2 linked regions of the Astyanax mexicanus genome follow. The protein of the gene in region 1 interacts with the protein of each later gene in a pairwise test. Links are inferred from orthologs where the notes say so. Each region holds a gene or a part of one and is shown on either strand. Other genes may lie near its edges.

The links. The genes of interacting proteins can lie anywhere in the genome.
Region 2: the proteins of epn2 (region 1) and wbp2 interact in binary tests that used the Homo sapiens proteins (3 or more experiments, as listed by UniProt). The link is inferred for Astyanax mexicanus from reciprocal best matches to the Homo sapiens genes EPN2 and WBP2.

The regions. Positions count from the first base shown.
Region 1 is NC_064410.1:53,700,144-53,708,050, reverse strand, and holds the start of epn2 (epsin-2), read right to left. Parts: upstream 3,231-7,907; 5' UTR 2,945-3,230; intron 2,931-2,944; exon of another isoform or gene 2,868-2,930; intron 882-2,867; exon of another isoform or gene 781-881; intron 1-780. UniProt on the Homo sapiens protein: Plays a role in the formation of clathrin-coated invaginations and endocytosis.
Region 2 is NC_064422.1:14,046,331-14,054,027, forward strand, and holds the start of wbp2 (WW domain-binding protein 2), read left to right. Parts: upstream 1-3,997; 5' UTR 3,998-4,167; coding exon 4,168-4,226; intron 4,227-5,863; coding exon 5,864-5,972; intron 5,973-6,695; coding exon 6,696-6,831; intron 6,832-7,263; coding exon 7,264-7,356; intron 7,357-7,697. UniProt on the Homo sapiens protein: Acts as a transcriptional coactivator of estrogen and progesterone receptors (ESR1 and PGR) upon hormone activation. In presence of estrogen, binds to ESR1-responsive promoters. Synergizes with YAP1 to enhance PGR activity.

The DNA of each region.
Region 1 (7,907 bases):
TAATTTAGCAGACACCTAAATTACTGATATCTAGTTGTTTTCAGTCATCTTTTGATCTTGCTATAATGATTTACTCCCTTTACCAAACAAGAACAAGGTAAACAAACTAAACTAAATGTCTGTGCTTTAAATAATGCTGCATTTCATTTGTTTCCAGAGATCAGAATTTATTCATGTTCAAAGTTAAAACAATGTACTGGAATGCACCAACAAGCTGGAATAACAAGATATCTCCAACAATCTGAAAATGTCATCACAGGATCTACAGGTAGCTCTTACCACAGCTGATACAGATGACCACCAAATGTCTATAGGATAAAAATGTTTACAAAAAGGACAGAAAAGTGTCCCCCCTTTTTCAAATAACTGTGGTTTCAGTATCCACAGTTAATCTCCCTCTGCATCACAAAAGCACCTCTTACCCGATTGTCTTCCCCAAGACCCTGTATGTCATGTAAAACAATGCGAGCCAGCGAGGGATGGGATCGAGTTGAACAAGCATGTGTCACAAATCAATGGTCACGCAACAGAAAAATATCCTTCATACATGGGTGTGTCCACCTAGTGACATGTAGACAGGCCAGGCAAATTCACAACAAAACCACTTTAATGCACTTTAGTGTAAATAACTTGGCAATAATTGAGAATAGCGTCCTAATGCCACTGTGTTTCACTAAGCTAGTAATAAAACTAGGGCTGGACAATAACTTAATATCAATAAATCACAATACAAAAATGTCTCAATAATAAATTTCAACATTTCAAAAATATGTTACTTACAGTATCTGTCGCTGGCTAATGTTTATTATGGGATGCATTGCATGAATTGGCAAATTCAGTTTTCAGACGTCTGTTGTGGTCCTTGGAAGTTTTTTTTCTGTAGATTTTATACTGCACGTGTTTAATTGATAGCATAATTATATCAAATTAACTGAAATAAGAAGTACTGTTATGTAAATTCTAGACATTATCACCCAACCCTACCCACTAAAACGCTACTAACTGAACAAAAACAAGTTAAAGCTGATTTAATGAGCAGGTCTGCCTGCACAAAGTTCTAAAAAGATAATATTTAAGTTAATAAACATAAAACATATGTAATATGTAATATTGTAGTTATATTAGCTAATACATTAATAATAGATAAAGATAAGCAACTGGTCCAGCCACAGCACTAAGAAAACAGCTCACTCATCACTACGTAGCTAACATCCAATGCAGCATAGCTTGCTAACCTAGCTAGCTGTCTACATGTCTGGATAAAAGTCACATTAAAAAGTTATTAAACTCACCAAAAAACTAATCTGACGATTTAGTAAAGTTGGCAAACATTCACCGTTCAAATTAAATCGCTACCCATTGCATTTTAAATTACTATAAAATCTAAAAGGTAACTAGTTAACACCCTTAGCTTAAGTAGCAGGCTAACTACCTTAGCTAAAGCTAGCTTTGTTATATTAAGCTAAGCCAGCACAACAGTTTACAACAGTTTACAGGCTAATAGTAAAATGAGTAAATATTTATTTTAAAGAAATATTTTATTCAAAACATTTAGATAACTAATTTAGCTAAGCAAAGTTCATAGCTATTCGTTGGCTAGCAAATAAACAAGTATGAAGCTAGCTAAGCTAAGCTTACACTTTAGCCAGCACGAGAAGTTCTCGAAGCGGCTAAACCGCTAACGCTAGCCAGCTAACAGTAGTTGCTGTATTATCGGAATTTTAAGATAAAAAGGAACTACATGTGAATTTTCTTTAATCTTTAAGAATATTTGACATTTTAACTAATTCATAAAACAGAGGAGAAAACGTTAATTAGCTAATGGCTATTTATATTCATATCTGTATAAATAGCGTCGATTCAGTTAGCCAACATAGCTTAGCTAGTCAGCTGTGTTACTTAAGCTAGCTAGTTAGTTAATTGTAGTTCTTTTACTGCCAGATTTAAACCTACAAGCTATTTCATTTAACTAACTAGTTAAATAAGCAACTAACGAGTTAAATAAATAAATAAATAATCTATATATCTAGCTAAATATCAGCTAGCTAACTAGCTGTCTAATTACTTATCTGCGCCTTTTAAAACGAGTTAAGCAAGTTCACAGCTAGGCTAGCTAGCTAAACCAGCAAGCTAACGCTGGCTGGCTGGTGCTTGGTGGAGATGTCTCCGAACTGGGAGTGAGTCGGCAGTCATTTGTAGTTAGTTATATGTTTTACAGAATATTTTCCAACAGATCAATAGACTGTTAGCTATTTTTAATATATTACCAGACAAAATGTGTAGCACTAGTAGCTAAACTGCACACTTTAAAATAAAGGTGCTCTTTAAATAATGCAACAGAGAAATACTTATTTTTCAAAAATAAACTAGTTAACCTAGCTAGAGAACTACCATGTTTGTAGACGAGGTTACTTTATAGTTAGCTATTAAAAGAAACTCTTAAAGGTGTGATGAACCTCAAAGATTGAGGTAACGTTAATATTTTCTATCCATTTAAACTCATTTAACCTAGCTAAATTAGTTAGCTAAGCTAGCACTCCCAAAAACAAAGGTGCTACAAATGGTTCTTTAGCTAATGACACAAAACAACAACTTCTTGTTCCATGAAATAGGTTAACTAAGTGGTTAATAGCAGCCAGCTAGATAATAAAAGCAATTTTAAAGGTCTGAAGAATCCCAAACTAGATGCAGTGCTAGCTTACGCTAGATCTGCTTTGTATAAAACTCTAAACTTAGCTCTTTCAGCACTCTTCGCTAGCTTAAACAAAGCTGCTACAAATGTTTTTTTGAACATAACCAGAAAACAACATGTTTCATTCCATAATGTGAGAATGAGAACCCTTTTAAAGGTTTAAAGAGCCTCAAACCTGGTGTGATTTGGTTTTGTGAGCAGGCAGCAGTTGGGAGCACAAGGAACCAGCTGGAAAACAAAACAGTAACTTACCAAGCCTTTCGCTGTGTTGCTTCAGGACTCCGTGTTCGTCCGGGAATAACGCCCGGCATGCGCACCGGCCCGGTATAAAAGGAAAAATCGGTTATTGACTGAGATTTGCACAACTTTACTGAGTTATTCCGCTCGCTAAGGCAGTGTTAGTGTTTATGTAAAGGGCTGGCAGGCGGGCGGGCGGCAGCAGCAGCTCTGAAATCCGTAAAAGAGTGACACCCACTCCGACCAACATGGCGGACTGTAGCTGATAGATCGACTGGGAGAGAGCGGTAAAGGGTGTGACCAACTGAAACACTACAGACACTAAAGTCAATAAAAAATGTATTTTTTTTACTAATTATCTCATATCCACAGAGATGGCGAACGATGTAACTAGTAAATGTACTTTCAGAAACGCCCTCAATGCTGTCCAGTAAACTTTACATCAATCCAACTCTCAGAGTTTCATTTAGAGAGCAGTGAGGCTGGTCTGTGGGTGTATATCACCCCCCACAGGTTCAACTGAGCCTTTTAAATTAAAGAGAAATTTAGTGAGAAGCTTTTTACAAGAGTTTTACAAGACAGACAATTTTAATAAACATAGGACTTTAAATAAACTTTATTTATAAAGCGCCTTATACAACACAAAGTAGCACAATCTAAACAATCTGCTTGTAAGACAAACAACCAAGAGAATATAAAACATTAAGTATCAGAGCTTTTTTAAATAATTTCATATCTAATTTTTATCCAATTTTCACAGCCCACTCATTAGGACTACCCCTATCACTAGTAAACACCAGGTGGGTGAAGACTAGCACATGCCTCCACATGCCACACAAGTGAAGTCAGCCATTGCCTCTTTTTAAACTGCTGTTGATGCAGCATAGCCAAGTAGCATCACAGTGCGCTCGGAGGAAAGTGCAGCGACTCGGTTCCAATACATCAGCTCACAGACGCCTTGTGCTGAGCGCCATCACCCTCCAGTAGCCGATGGCAAGCTACATGAACAGGCTTCGAACCAGCAATCTCCTGATCATAGTGGCAGCGCTTAGCCCGCTAGACCACTCAGAGTCCCATTGAATATTAGAGCTAACTACACTGCCTGGCCAGTCTTACCCTGGATTTAACTTAATTTATGTAAATGATCTGGTGTGGCTGCAGTTGATCAGGTCTAGGTTCAGCAACAGTATGTGCTGAAAGAATGAGGTCAGCTGACTACCTAAATATACTGAATATAGACCAGGTTAATTCATCAGTGGATTTTTTTCTTCCCTGATGGCACAGGTTATACCAAGATGACAATGGCAGGGTTCATGGGGCTGGAATTGTGAAAGAGTGATTCAGGGAGCATGAGATCATTTTTACACATGCATTGTTCACCACAGAGTCCAGACCTTAACCCCATTGAGAATCTTTGAGATGTGCTGGAGAAGGCATTAACAAGCTCAAAGTAGCTCACATTTTATTGGTATAATTTCGAGAGCCCTGACATTTAAAAGACAAAAACAATGAGTAAATGCAAAATTAGGTAAATTAGTTAATCTATACAAAGTCAAAATTAAGACCTTTAGTATTACAGAAATGGATCATTTGTTTGATAGTTTTAAATGACTTAGTGATGGTAAGAATTTTGAAACAAAATTCAATTAATTGCGTTTGATTAAACATTAATTGCTAAGAATAATTAAACTAGAAACATTAATGCTTTATTACTAGAGCCTATTTGCATTAAATCATAACTTAGTTTTGGTTTCTATTTTCCAGTTATGTAAAATAAAAGGCCTCAACAAGCTGCACATTATTACTAATACATTCTGGAAGAACATTTCTATCAATGTGGAATGGTTACAAAGCCATTTCTAAGACTCTGGGGCTTCAGCAAACCACAGTGTGAGCCATTCATTTCAAGGGGGGAAAATCTGTTGCAGTGGTGAATCTTCCCAGAAGTGGCTGGACTACCAAAATTCCCCCAATAGTGCAGTAAGGACCTATCCCGGAAGCCTCAGAATATCCCAGACAAACTTCTAAGTATATCTCACAGGCCTTGAATGCCTCAGATAAGGCCAGTGTTTGTGATTCCACTATTAGAAAGAGACTGAGAAAAATTGGTCCCCGGTAAAGAGGTGCAAAATATTAAAGGCACTGCTAACCAAGAAGAACAGAAAAGCTCACCTCACACTTCATCACCTTATAAGAACAACAAAGTCAGAAAATCATACCAACTGGCAAACAAGTTGATGATATGTGTTGGTGTAGGGATGTAAATATGAATATTTGATGTCTTGTTTTAATATATGTCTATTATTTCTTTATTTAAATATATATACAGTAATATGTTTAAAGTCTACCTAAATATATGTAAATAGTTCAATTTAGTACAATAAAAGCTTTTGTATTTTTTGGTAAATGAAAGTAGTTCATTTTAGCACTCTTAATCATTAGCACACTGTAGCATAATATAGCATAAGTTGAGTATACTTGAGTCTACCTTTTCACTTGGGCAGTCACACATACAGTATCTGCACAGTTTTAAGAATAATAACAGTACATTAGCTTTATTCTGCACACTGTGTGCTTCTTTTAATACATATAAAATATCTGGCATGCAAAAACAATGTCACAATAAATATTTATTAATATTTTATTCATATTTACTAAACCTTTGTAGAATCATACAATGTTGAATAAAAAGGGAACATAATTTGTAGTTTATTACTGTTATTATGTTGAACAGTAACACATTGATCGAAACATAATGCTATTTTGATTTAACCGTGATATGATGCTGATTACAGTGCCCTCCATAATTATTGGCACCCCTGGTTAAGATGTGTTCTTTAGCTTACTCTTTTTTTTCATCATGGTCCTATATTATTTAGAAAAAAATCAATAATATAGGACCACGATGAAGAAAGAGAAAGCTAAAGAACACATCTTAACCAGTGGTGCCAATAATTATGGAGGGCACTGTGAGTTCCAGATGGGATGCTGGAGTTTTTATTATCCAGGATTGCTTATTTTAGACTCTTTTGCTTGTAGTGTTGTTCATTATACACTTAATGCTGTTTTTATGCATTACTTGCTCATGCAGTGTGTTATTATGGAAATAGCAGATGGCAGTCTTGGATTTAGTCCAGTGTGGTATAGGAACCGGTTCACTCTGATCAGGAAGCTGCAGGTCTGTAGCTGCATTTACTGCTGTTGATCAGTAGAGGGCTGCATCACATAGGTGATCTGTAGAAGTGTATAAATGAGTAGGTGTAGTGTATAGTGTGGAGTTGTATATGCCCACTGTGTTTCTTTGTAGCTCTGGTCCTATATAGTTGCTGTAATACAGGTACTAGAATTAATCAGAGGTAAAAAAAAAAAAAATATGTTTGAAGTAGTCTGCAACACTGGCATTAGTGAACTCTAGTTGATGGTTGTTCAATCCTGGTACTGGTGTCTCCCTGCCCTGCATGTTTATGGCTTCTCCTGCTCCCAACACACCTGATTTAACTAATCAACTCATCACCTAGTCCTATTAGACCTATAGTGGGTGTGTTAAAACAGGCAATCCTCTAAAATGTGTTGGGCCTGGGCATGGGCGTGGTAGTGGGGGGAAAAATGGACCTGACTACCCAGGGCCCAAGTAGGGAGAGGGGCCCATAAAAATCCTGATTTATTCATTTATTTTTAAGTGGTATTTTTATTATTGAATTGGGCCCTCTAATTAACTATTTATTAATTAATCTATCAAAAATTATTGATAACATCTACTGAGAGAATTAACTTTAGTTACAGTCCTCTCAACATATGGGACATTCTGGGAGCCCCCTCCTGGAGGCGCAAGATGGTTTGGTCCGCCCGACAGCGACCCGGCTACAGGTGTACCGTCAGTGAGCCCAGATTAAATGACCTGGGGGGCTAGAGACTTCATGCTGCCCCTAAAACAGAAATCAGGTTATCAGAAGAAGAAAGAAAGAAGGCAGAGTGAGGGGAGGCAGCTATTGACGGCTTTCTTTCCCAAAGGTGAACAGAGTTTGCTTGTTATGCTAAGTGTAATTAAAGTTAATGTAGTCCTCTCCACACAGCTGCTGCTGATGTCTGTAGGCTCACGTGAAGCCGTTAGCTTAGCAAGTTACCAACCAGGCGGCTGCTGCTGTAAGAATAAAGGTAATTATGAGCCGCGTAAGGTTAGATATCGACATTAACCGGTCTTAGAAACTCCCCCTTACGTTGGTATGTTGGTTCAAGAGAGAGAGAGAGATTTATTTTAAGTTATAAGTAAGTTATTATTTTGGTTCAGTGCGTGTGCTATAGCCTATTGTCTACTAACACAGCAGAGCTGAAAGAGAAACAGTGCTTAGACTTAATAAATGATCCACCTAGCAATATTTCTGCTGCATATATCAACATGTAAATAGCCTACCAATATCTCTGTAGGTGCGAGTACACACTAGTAATATATTAAACAATAAAGCAACTGATTATTTTTGTCTGGTAAAAAGCCTTAGCATTGCAGTGCAGTGCTTAAAAGCTATTATCAACGCTCAATAAATTCATGATGTTACCAAAGCCAATGAATAATCATGTTAAATAACTGTGATCTCAATATTAATCAAAAATAATTGTGATAATGATTTTTGCCATATATTTTTGCCAGAGATTGTAGCTTAAAACTTTATTAATGCTTTTTATTTTAGATAAATACCGCTTTTTTGCTCACGTTCTTCATGTACTTGATAGAGGCCCACTGACATTGCGAGTGTACAGGGCCCAGAATTTGCTGCTACGCCCCTGGGCCTGGGTGGCAGGGCCAGGATAGAAGAACACTGTTCTAGTTAAAGGAAACTCACCATTACTGATTGAATGCTTTTATAGTTAATATGAAACTTTCCAATACTCTTCAAATCTTCAAAATAACAACATTAAAGGATCAGGAAAAAACCTTGATAACTTTCAGTGTTAGTAAAAAAAAAAAAGTCAAATGTATTTG
Region 2 (7,697 bases), on another chromosome or scaffold:
AGAGCGCGCATACACTGAACATTGCGGCAAGCGTGAGAAGGAACACATTTCAAAATAAAAGTCCCCCCCTTAATATCACGACATTATGCTGTGGAGTGGTATTAAAAGGAATCCACATAATATCACATGTTATGTCTGATATCACATGTCAATTTCATGTAGTCCTGGTAGTACACAAAATAAAAGCCCTGTAAATTATAACAATTATGTTAATTAAATAATACTAATACTAATAATAATAATACTAACAATACTACTACTAATAATAATAATACTTGTATGTGTCACTCACTTAATAGCAGGGCATTATAATGTGTCATTTCAAAATAAAGGCCATTTAAATTGTAACATTTATGTAATTTTACACAATGTTTAGACTGTTATTAAAAGAAATCTGTCTGATATCACAGCTCAATTTCATATAGTCCTGATAGTACACTCCTTGTATGTTTCACTCACTTAATATCAGAAGATTTTGATGTGTCATTTCAAAATAAAGGCCCTTTAAATTATAACATTTATGTAATTTTACACAATATTTAGACTGTTCTTAAAATAAATCTGTCTGATATCACAGTTCAATTTCATATAGTCCTGATAGTACACTACTTGTATGTGTCACTCACTTAATAACAGAACATTTTGATGTGTCATTTCAAAATAAAGGCCCTTTAAATTGTAACATTTATGTAATTTTACACAATATTTAGACTGTTATTAAAAGAAATCTGTCTGATATCACAGTTCAATTTTATATAGTCCTGATAGTACACTACTTGTATGTTTAACTCAATTACTATCAGAACATTTTGATGTGTCATTTTAAAATAAAAGCCCTTTAAATTGTAACATTTATGTAATTTTACACAATGTTTAGACTGTTATTAAAAGAAATCTGTCTGATATCACAGTTCAATTCCATATAGTCCTGATAGAACACTACTTGTATGTTTCACTCACTTAAAATCAGAACATTTTGATGTGTCATTTCAAAATAAGGGCCATTTAAATTGTAACATTTATGTAATTTTACACAATGTTTAGACTGTTATTAAAAGAAATCTGTCTGATATCACAGTTCAATTTCATATAGTCCTGATAGTACACTACTTATATGTTTCACTCACTTAAAATCAGAACATTTTGATGTGTCATTTCAAAATAAGGGCCATTTAAATTGTAACATTTATGTAATTTTACACAATGTTTAGACTGTTATTAAAAGAAATTTGTCTGATATCACAGGTCAATTTCAGATAGTCCTGATAGTACACTACTTGTATGTTTCACTCAATTACTATCAGAACATTTTGATGTGTCATTTTTAAATAAAGGCCCTTTAAATTATAACATTTATGTAATTTTACACAATATTTAGACTGTTCTTAAAATAAATCTGTCTGATATCACAGTTCAATTTCATATAGTCCTGATAGTACACTACTTGTATGTGTCACTCACTTAATAACAGAACATTTTGATGTGTCATTTCAAAATAAAGGCCCTTTAAATTGTAACATTTATGTAATTTTATACAATGTTTAGACTGTTATTAAAAGAAGTCTGTCTGATATCACAGTTCAATTTCATATAGTCCTGATAGTACACTACTTGTATGTTTCACTCAATTACTATCAGAACATTTTGATGTGTCATCTTAAAATAAAAGCCCTTTAAATTGTAACATTTATGTAATTTTACACAATGTTTAGACTGTTATTAAAAGAAATCTGTCTGATATCACAGTTCAATTTCATATAGTCCTGATAGTACACTACTTGTATGTTTCACTCACTTAAAATCAGAACATTTTGATGTGTCATTTCAAAACAAAGGCCCTTTAAATTATAACAATATTTTATTTCAACACAATGTTTAGACTGTTATTAAAAGAAATCTGTCTGATATCACAGGTCAATATCATATAGTCCTGATAGTACACTACTTGTATGTGTCACTCACTTAATAACATAACATTTTGATGTGTCATTTCAAAATAAAGGCCTTTTAAATTATAACAATATTTTTATTTTAACACAAGTTTTGACTGTTATTAAAATGAATCTGTGTGATATCACAGGTCAATTTCATATTTCATTTCATAATTTAAAGGGCCTTTATTTTGAAATGACATATCAAAATGTTCTGATATTAAGTGAGTGAAACATACAAGTAGTGTACTATCAGGACTATATGAAATTGAACTGTGATATCAGACAGATTTCTTTTAATAACAGTCTAAACATTGTGTAAAATTACATAAATGTTACAATTTAAAGGGCCTTTATTTTGAAATGACACATCAAAATGTTCTGTTATTAAGTGAGTGACACATTCAAGTAGTGTACTATCAGGACTATATGAAATTGAACTGTGATATCAGACAGATTTATTTTAAGAACAGTCTAAATATTGTGTAAAATTACATAAATGTTATAATTTAAAGGGCCTTTATTTTGAAATGACACATCAAAATGTTCTGATATTAAGTGAGTGAAACATACAAGTAGTGTACTATCAGGACTATATGAAATTGAACTGTGATATCAGACAGATTTCTTTTAATAACAGTCTAAACATTGTGTAAAATTACATAAATGTTACAATTTAAATGGCCCTTATTTTGAAATGACACATCAAAATGTTCTGATTTTAAGTGAGTGAAACATACAAGTAGTGTACTATCAGGACTATATGAAATTGAACTGTGATATCAGACAGATTTCTTTTAATAACAGTCTAAACATTGTGTAAAATTACATATGTTACAATTTAAAGGGCTTTTATTTTAAAATGACACATCAAAATGTTCTGATAGTAATTGAGTGAAACATACAAGTAGTGTACTATCAGGACTATATGAAATTGAACTGTGATATCAGACAGATTTCTTTTAATAACAGTCTAAACATTGTGTAAAATTACATAAATGTTACAATTTAAAGGGCCTTTATTTTGAAATGACACATCAAAATGTTCTGTTATTAAGTGAGTGACACATACAAGTAGTGTACTATCAGGACTATATGAAATTGAACTGTGATATCAGACAGATTTATTTTAAGAACAGTCTAAATATTGTGTAAAATTACATAAATGTTATAATTTAAAGGGCCTTTATTTTGAAATGACATATCAAAATCTTCTGATATTAAGTGAGTGAAACATACAAGTAGTGTACTATCAGGACTATATGAAATTGACCCGTGATATCAGACAGATTTATTTTAATAACAGTCTAAACATTGTGTAAAATTACATAAATGTTACAATTTAAATGGCCCTTATTTTGAAATGACACATCAAAATGTTCTGATTTTAAGTGAGTGAAACATACAAGTGGTGTACTATCAGGGCTATATAAAATTGAGCTGTGATATCAGACAGATTCCTTTTAATAACAGTCTAAACATTGTGTAAAATTACATAAATGTTAAAATTTAAAGGGCCTTTATTTTGAAATGACACATTATAATGCCCTGCTATTAAGTGAGTGACACATACAAGTATTATTATTAGTAGTAGTAGTATTGTTAGTATTATTATTATTAGTATTATTATTATTTAATTAACATAATTGTTATAATTTACAGGGCTTTTATTTTGTGTACTACCAGGACTACATGAAATTGACATGTGATATCAGACATAACATGTGATATTATGTGGATTCCTTTTAATACCACTCCACAGCATAATGTCGTGATATTAAGGGGGGGACTTTTATTTTGAAATGTGTTCCTTCTCACACTTCTTAACACTTTATTACTAAATTATTTCATTTTAAAACGACTTTATGGTGTGTCCAGATTTTTGACTTGTACTCTATAATTTATATATTTTTTTATATTAAGGTGTGTGTTGCTGTTTTATAACTATAATATTCAACAATATGACTTTATATATTAAAAAACACAGCTCCACTGTTAAATAGATAATCCAATCCGATCAGAATCGATTCAGAAAGATTCGGAACCTTCAGGAAAGTTCCGTGTCCTTTAAAGACGCGCGCTGCGTCAGGGAGGGGCGGTACTCCGCGGGACGGTGCGGGCTGCGGGAGCTGCAGGTGCGGTTATCTCTAATCACCAGTATCGGAAACTGATCGATCAGATCCACCGATCAGCAGCAGAGAGATCTCCAACAGCGCGTGAATGAGAAGAACCCAGAATGACCCTGAATCAGAACCATTCCGAGTCCGGGGGAGTCATCATCAACAACAGCGAGAGGTACCGGTGTTCTGTCTGATTCTGCTACCTTGTTAAACCGTGTTCCCCTAGTGTATATTTACCTGTAAAAATACAAGAGAAGCACCATATTACAGCATGTTAAAAGCAGGAGTCCCAGTAGATGTAGTTACTATATTTGAAAAGCATAAATTACTGTGTCGTGGTAAAGTTCACTACTAACGTGTTTTTGTTTGTTTATAATTATATTAATACCATAATACAATAATAATTATTGCATTCAAATTTTATAATTTCCATTTACGCTTTTGTGCAATAACAGTGAGTCCAGGTTGTTTAATGCATTGAAAAACACGAGAAATAATCTAAAAGTATAGGTCAGCGCATGCGCAGTGCCTTTAGGAAGCACGTATCGACGGGTAGAATACCTCGACAAAACACCGGCCTTCGCGCTCACTCACAGCTCTCCTCTCCACCTTAAACACCAGCAGCCTCCGCGCGCTCACTCACAACTCTCCGTTCCACCAGCAGCCTCCGCGCGCTCACTCACAACTCTCCGTTCCACCTTAAACACCAGCAGCCTCCGCGCGCTCACTCACAACTCTCCGTTCCATCTTAAACACCGGCCTCCGCGCGCTCACTCACAGCACTCCGCACTCCTCCACAAATGACTTCGCTGTGAGGGGCTGGTATGATCAGCTGCACCGTTTAAGGTGGAACGGAGAGTTCGAAGATGATTATATTTAATCGTTGGTGTGACGGAGGATATTTGACACAGATTAAAAGCTCCAGTAAATGTTTACCTTCCGTCTGCACATCAACATTTATTAAAACAAACTTATTTAAACACTTTAAATAAACAAACAGCTAAAAAACGAGAGTAGATAGGCAGTGTCCACACAGCTACAGTTACCTGAGCTAAATAAAGATAATTCTAGGCCCTGTATAGACAATGCGTTCCATTAATTTAAACTTTTAGTTCTATTAATTTTGTTTTGTTCTATATATATATATATATATATATATATATATATATATATATATATATATATATATATATATATATATATATATATACTGCAAATAGAAAAAATGTGTTTATATATAACTTACTGCAAATAGAAAAAAATGTGTGTATGTATTTCTGTATATAAACTTCATTTCTACCTTTTCAAGATACATTCTGATAAATCATGTCATGTAGGATGAAACAGCCAAAATTTGAGTTAATTCTGTTAACAATATGAACAAAAACGCCACAAAACCAAATCGCTGTAAGTAATGTATAATAACATATCTCTATTAAAACATTTTCTATTGTGATATATAAATATTTATTTACCACATCAGTCATATGCAAAATTAAAAAGCCTGTTAGCAGTATGTGAAACACTGGTATTAGAATAAATACAAATAACATTCAGACAAACAGAAAGAGAGAGATGCCCATTCCCATCTTCACTGGGTCACAGAGTCACTAAGCTTCTTAAGTCTTCAGTGATGTAAGACTGTAAGACTGTGGACATTTACACAGTTCTTTGTGACTTTGTAGGTCTAATTTTAGATTTGCTCAGTGTGTTTTATCTTCTTGTCTTCATTTATTAAGTGTAAATCTGCTCTGTTGTGTAAAACAATCTCGCTCTACCAGCAGAGTAAAACACCACTGTTCTCCTTCACAGTGTTCTGATGTCCTATGAAAACGTGGAGCTGTCGTTCAGTGATGCTGATCGTTTACCAGAGCTGTTCAAGAAGAGCAAGAAGGGGAGCATCTATCTCACTCCGTACAGGGTGAGTCTGAAAAGAGATAAAAGATATTCTTTAACTAATCAGATGTCAGTTACCAGAGAACACTGAGACAAAGTCCAGTACCCGGTTGCATAAACACCATACGATTTTCACTTAAGTATAAAAAAATGGACAAAAGGGAATTACTTAAGTGTGTTACACAAAAACCCTCAGATATTTAATTAACTAGGAGTAAATAGATTTACTGCAGTGACTAATGTTTTACTGTGGTAAGTTCCACTTTAATCACAACAATGACTTATCAGCGATAATGAATGTTAACTTTGTGATTTTGGTGCTTTTAAAACCTCTTCAATGAATTATTCAACACCCCCCCCCCCCCGCTCACTCTTTCAGACGTGAACATGAAAACAATGATTTTTGCAATTGAGTTTACGCGTATATTATTCACATTTCTCATGGCTTGGGGTTGCTTTGCTACAGAGGATGGTCTGGCAAGCTTATCATAGGTGAATATGAATTATTTATTGTATCAGAGGTGGTTTGAAGAAAAATGTAAGACCATCCACACAAACTGTAGATAAAGCATCACATCGCTGAAAGAATTCTGCATAGAGGAGTGGGAGTCTGAATAGGTCTGTCCTGGGTAAATAAATTAGGTGAAAGTGTTTGCAGTCAGTAGTCTAATTATAATATTTTATTTTATTCCTTTAAATAGCTTCTCCAGAGCCTTTACAAAAGTTGTGCGGTCTGTTCTTCTATCAGGTAATCTTCGTGACAAAGGGGAAGGATGCTCTTCAGTCCTTCATGATGCCATTCTATCTAATGAAGGGCTGTGAAGTCAAACAGCCTGTTCTTGGAGCCAACTACATAAAGGGTGCGGTGAACGCTGAACCAGGGGGTAAGAACTTACTAAATCTGATTGGAGCATTAAGGTCATCAATAAGCTCTTCAGTGAATTGGATCAGCTTAAACTGGGGAGAAAATTGGTAAAAATGGAAAAAAATTAAATAGTGATGTCAGCTGATGTAGTCCTAGAGTTTAAGAAAACAACATTTACATGTTTCAGTAAAATGTAAAATGCAGTTGTGAATTCAGAATATGTCATTTGTAATTTTTCTTTTTGCCATTGCTTACTTAGTAGAATTGTTGGAGCACACATTTATAAGGCCATTATTAAAATGTTTGTGTGTTATTTTGAGCCATGTGCTGTACAAAAAAAAAAAATTATCCCTAAAGGGGTCTATGCCCCCTGCTTTCTCCTATAATAAAAAAGAAATAGATTGAAGATGATATATCAGTATATCTGAATGCTGTCTTCTTTTTTCCGTAGGTGGTTGGGAGGGATCTGCCACCTTCAAACTCATCTTTATCGCTGGAGGAGCTATCGAGTTTGGGCAGTATATGATGCAGGTGGCAGCTCAGGGTAAATGATTCTTGCTCTACACATAATTTGATAGGTTCTTGCCTGTCTGGGCATTAATTCTGTAGCAATATACTGTAACTCACAAAAGTGAGTACATCCCTCAATTTTTTGTAAATATTTTATTATATCTTTTCATGGGAAACACTGAAGATATGATACAGTGATACAATTTAAGAACACATCTAAGAGAAAATGGCGAAATTGTGCCCAATTAGCCATTTTCAGGTGTGAATGGGGAGCAGGTGAGTTAAATTTGGTGTTTTGGATACAATTCAGTCATACTGACCACTGGATATTCAACATGGCACCTCATGGCAAAGAACTCTCTGAGGATGTGAGAA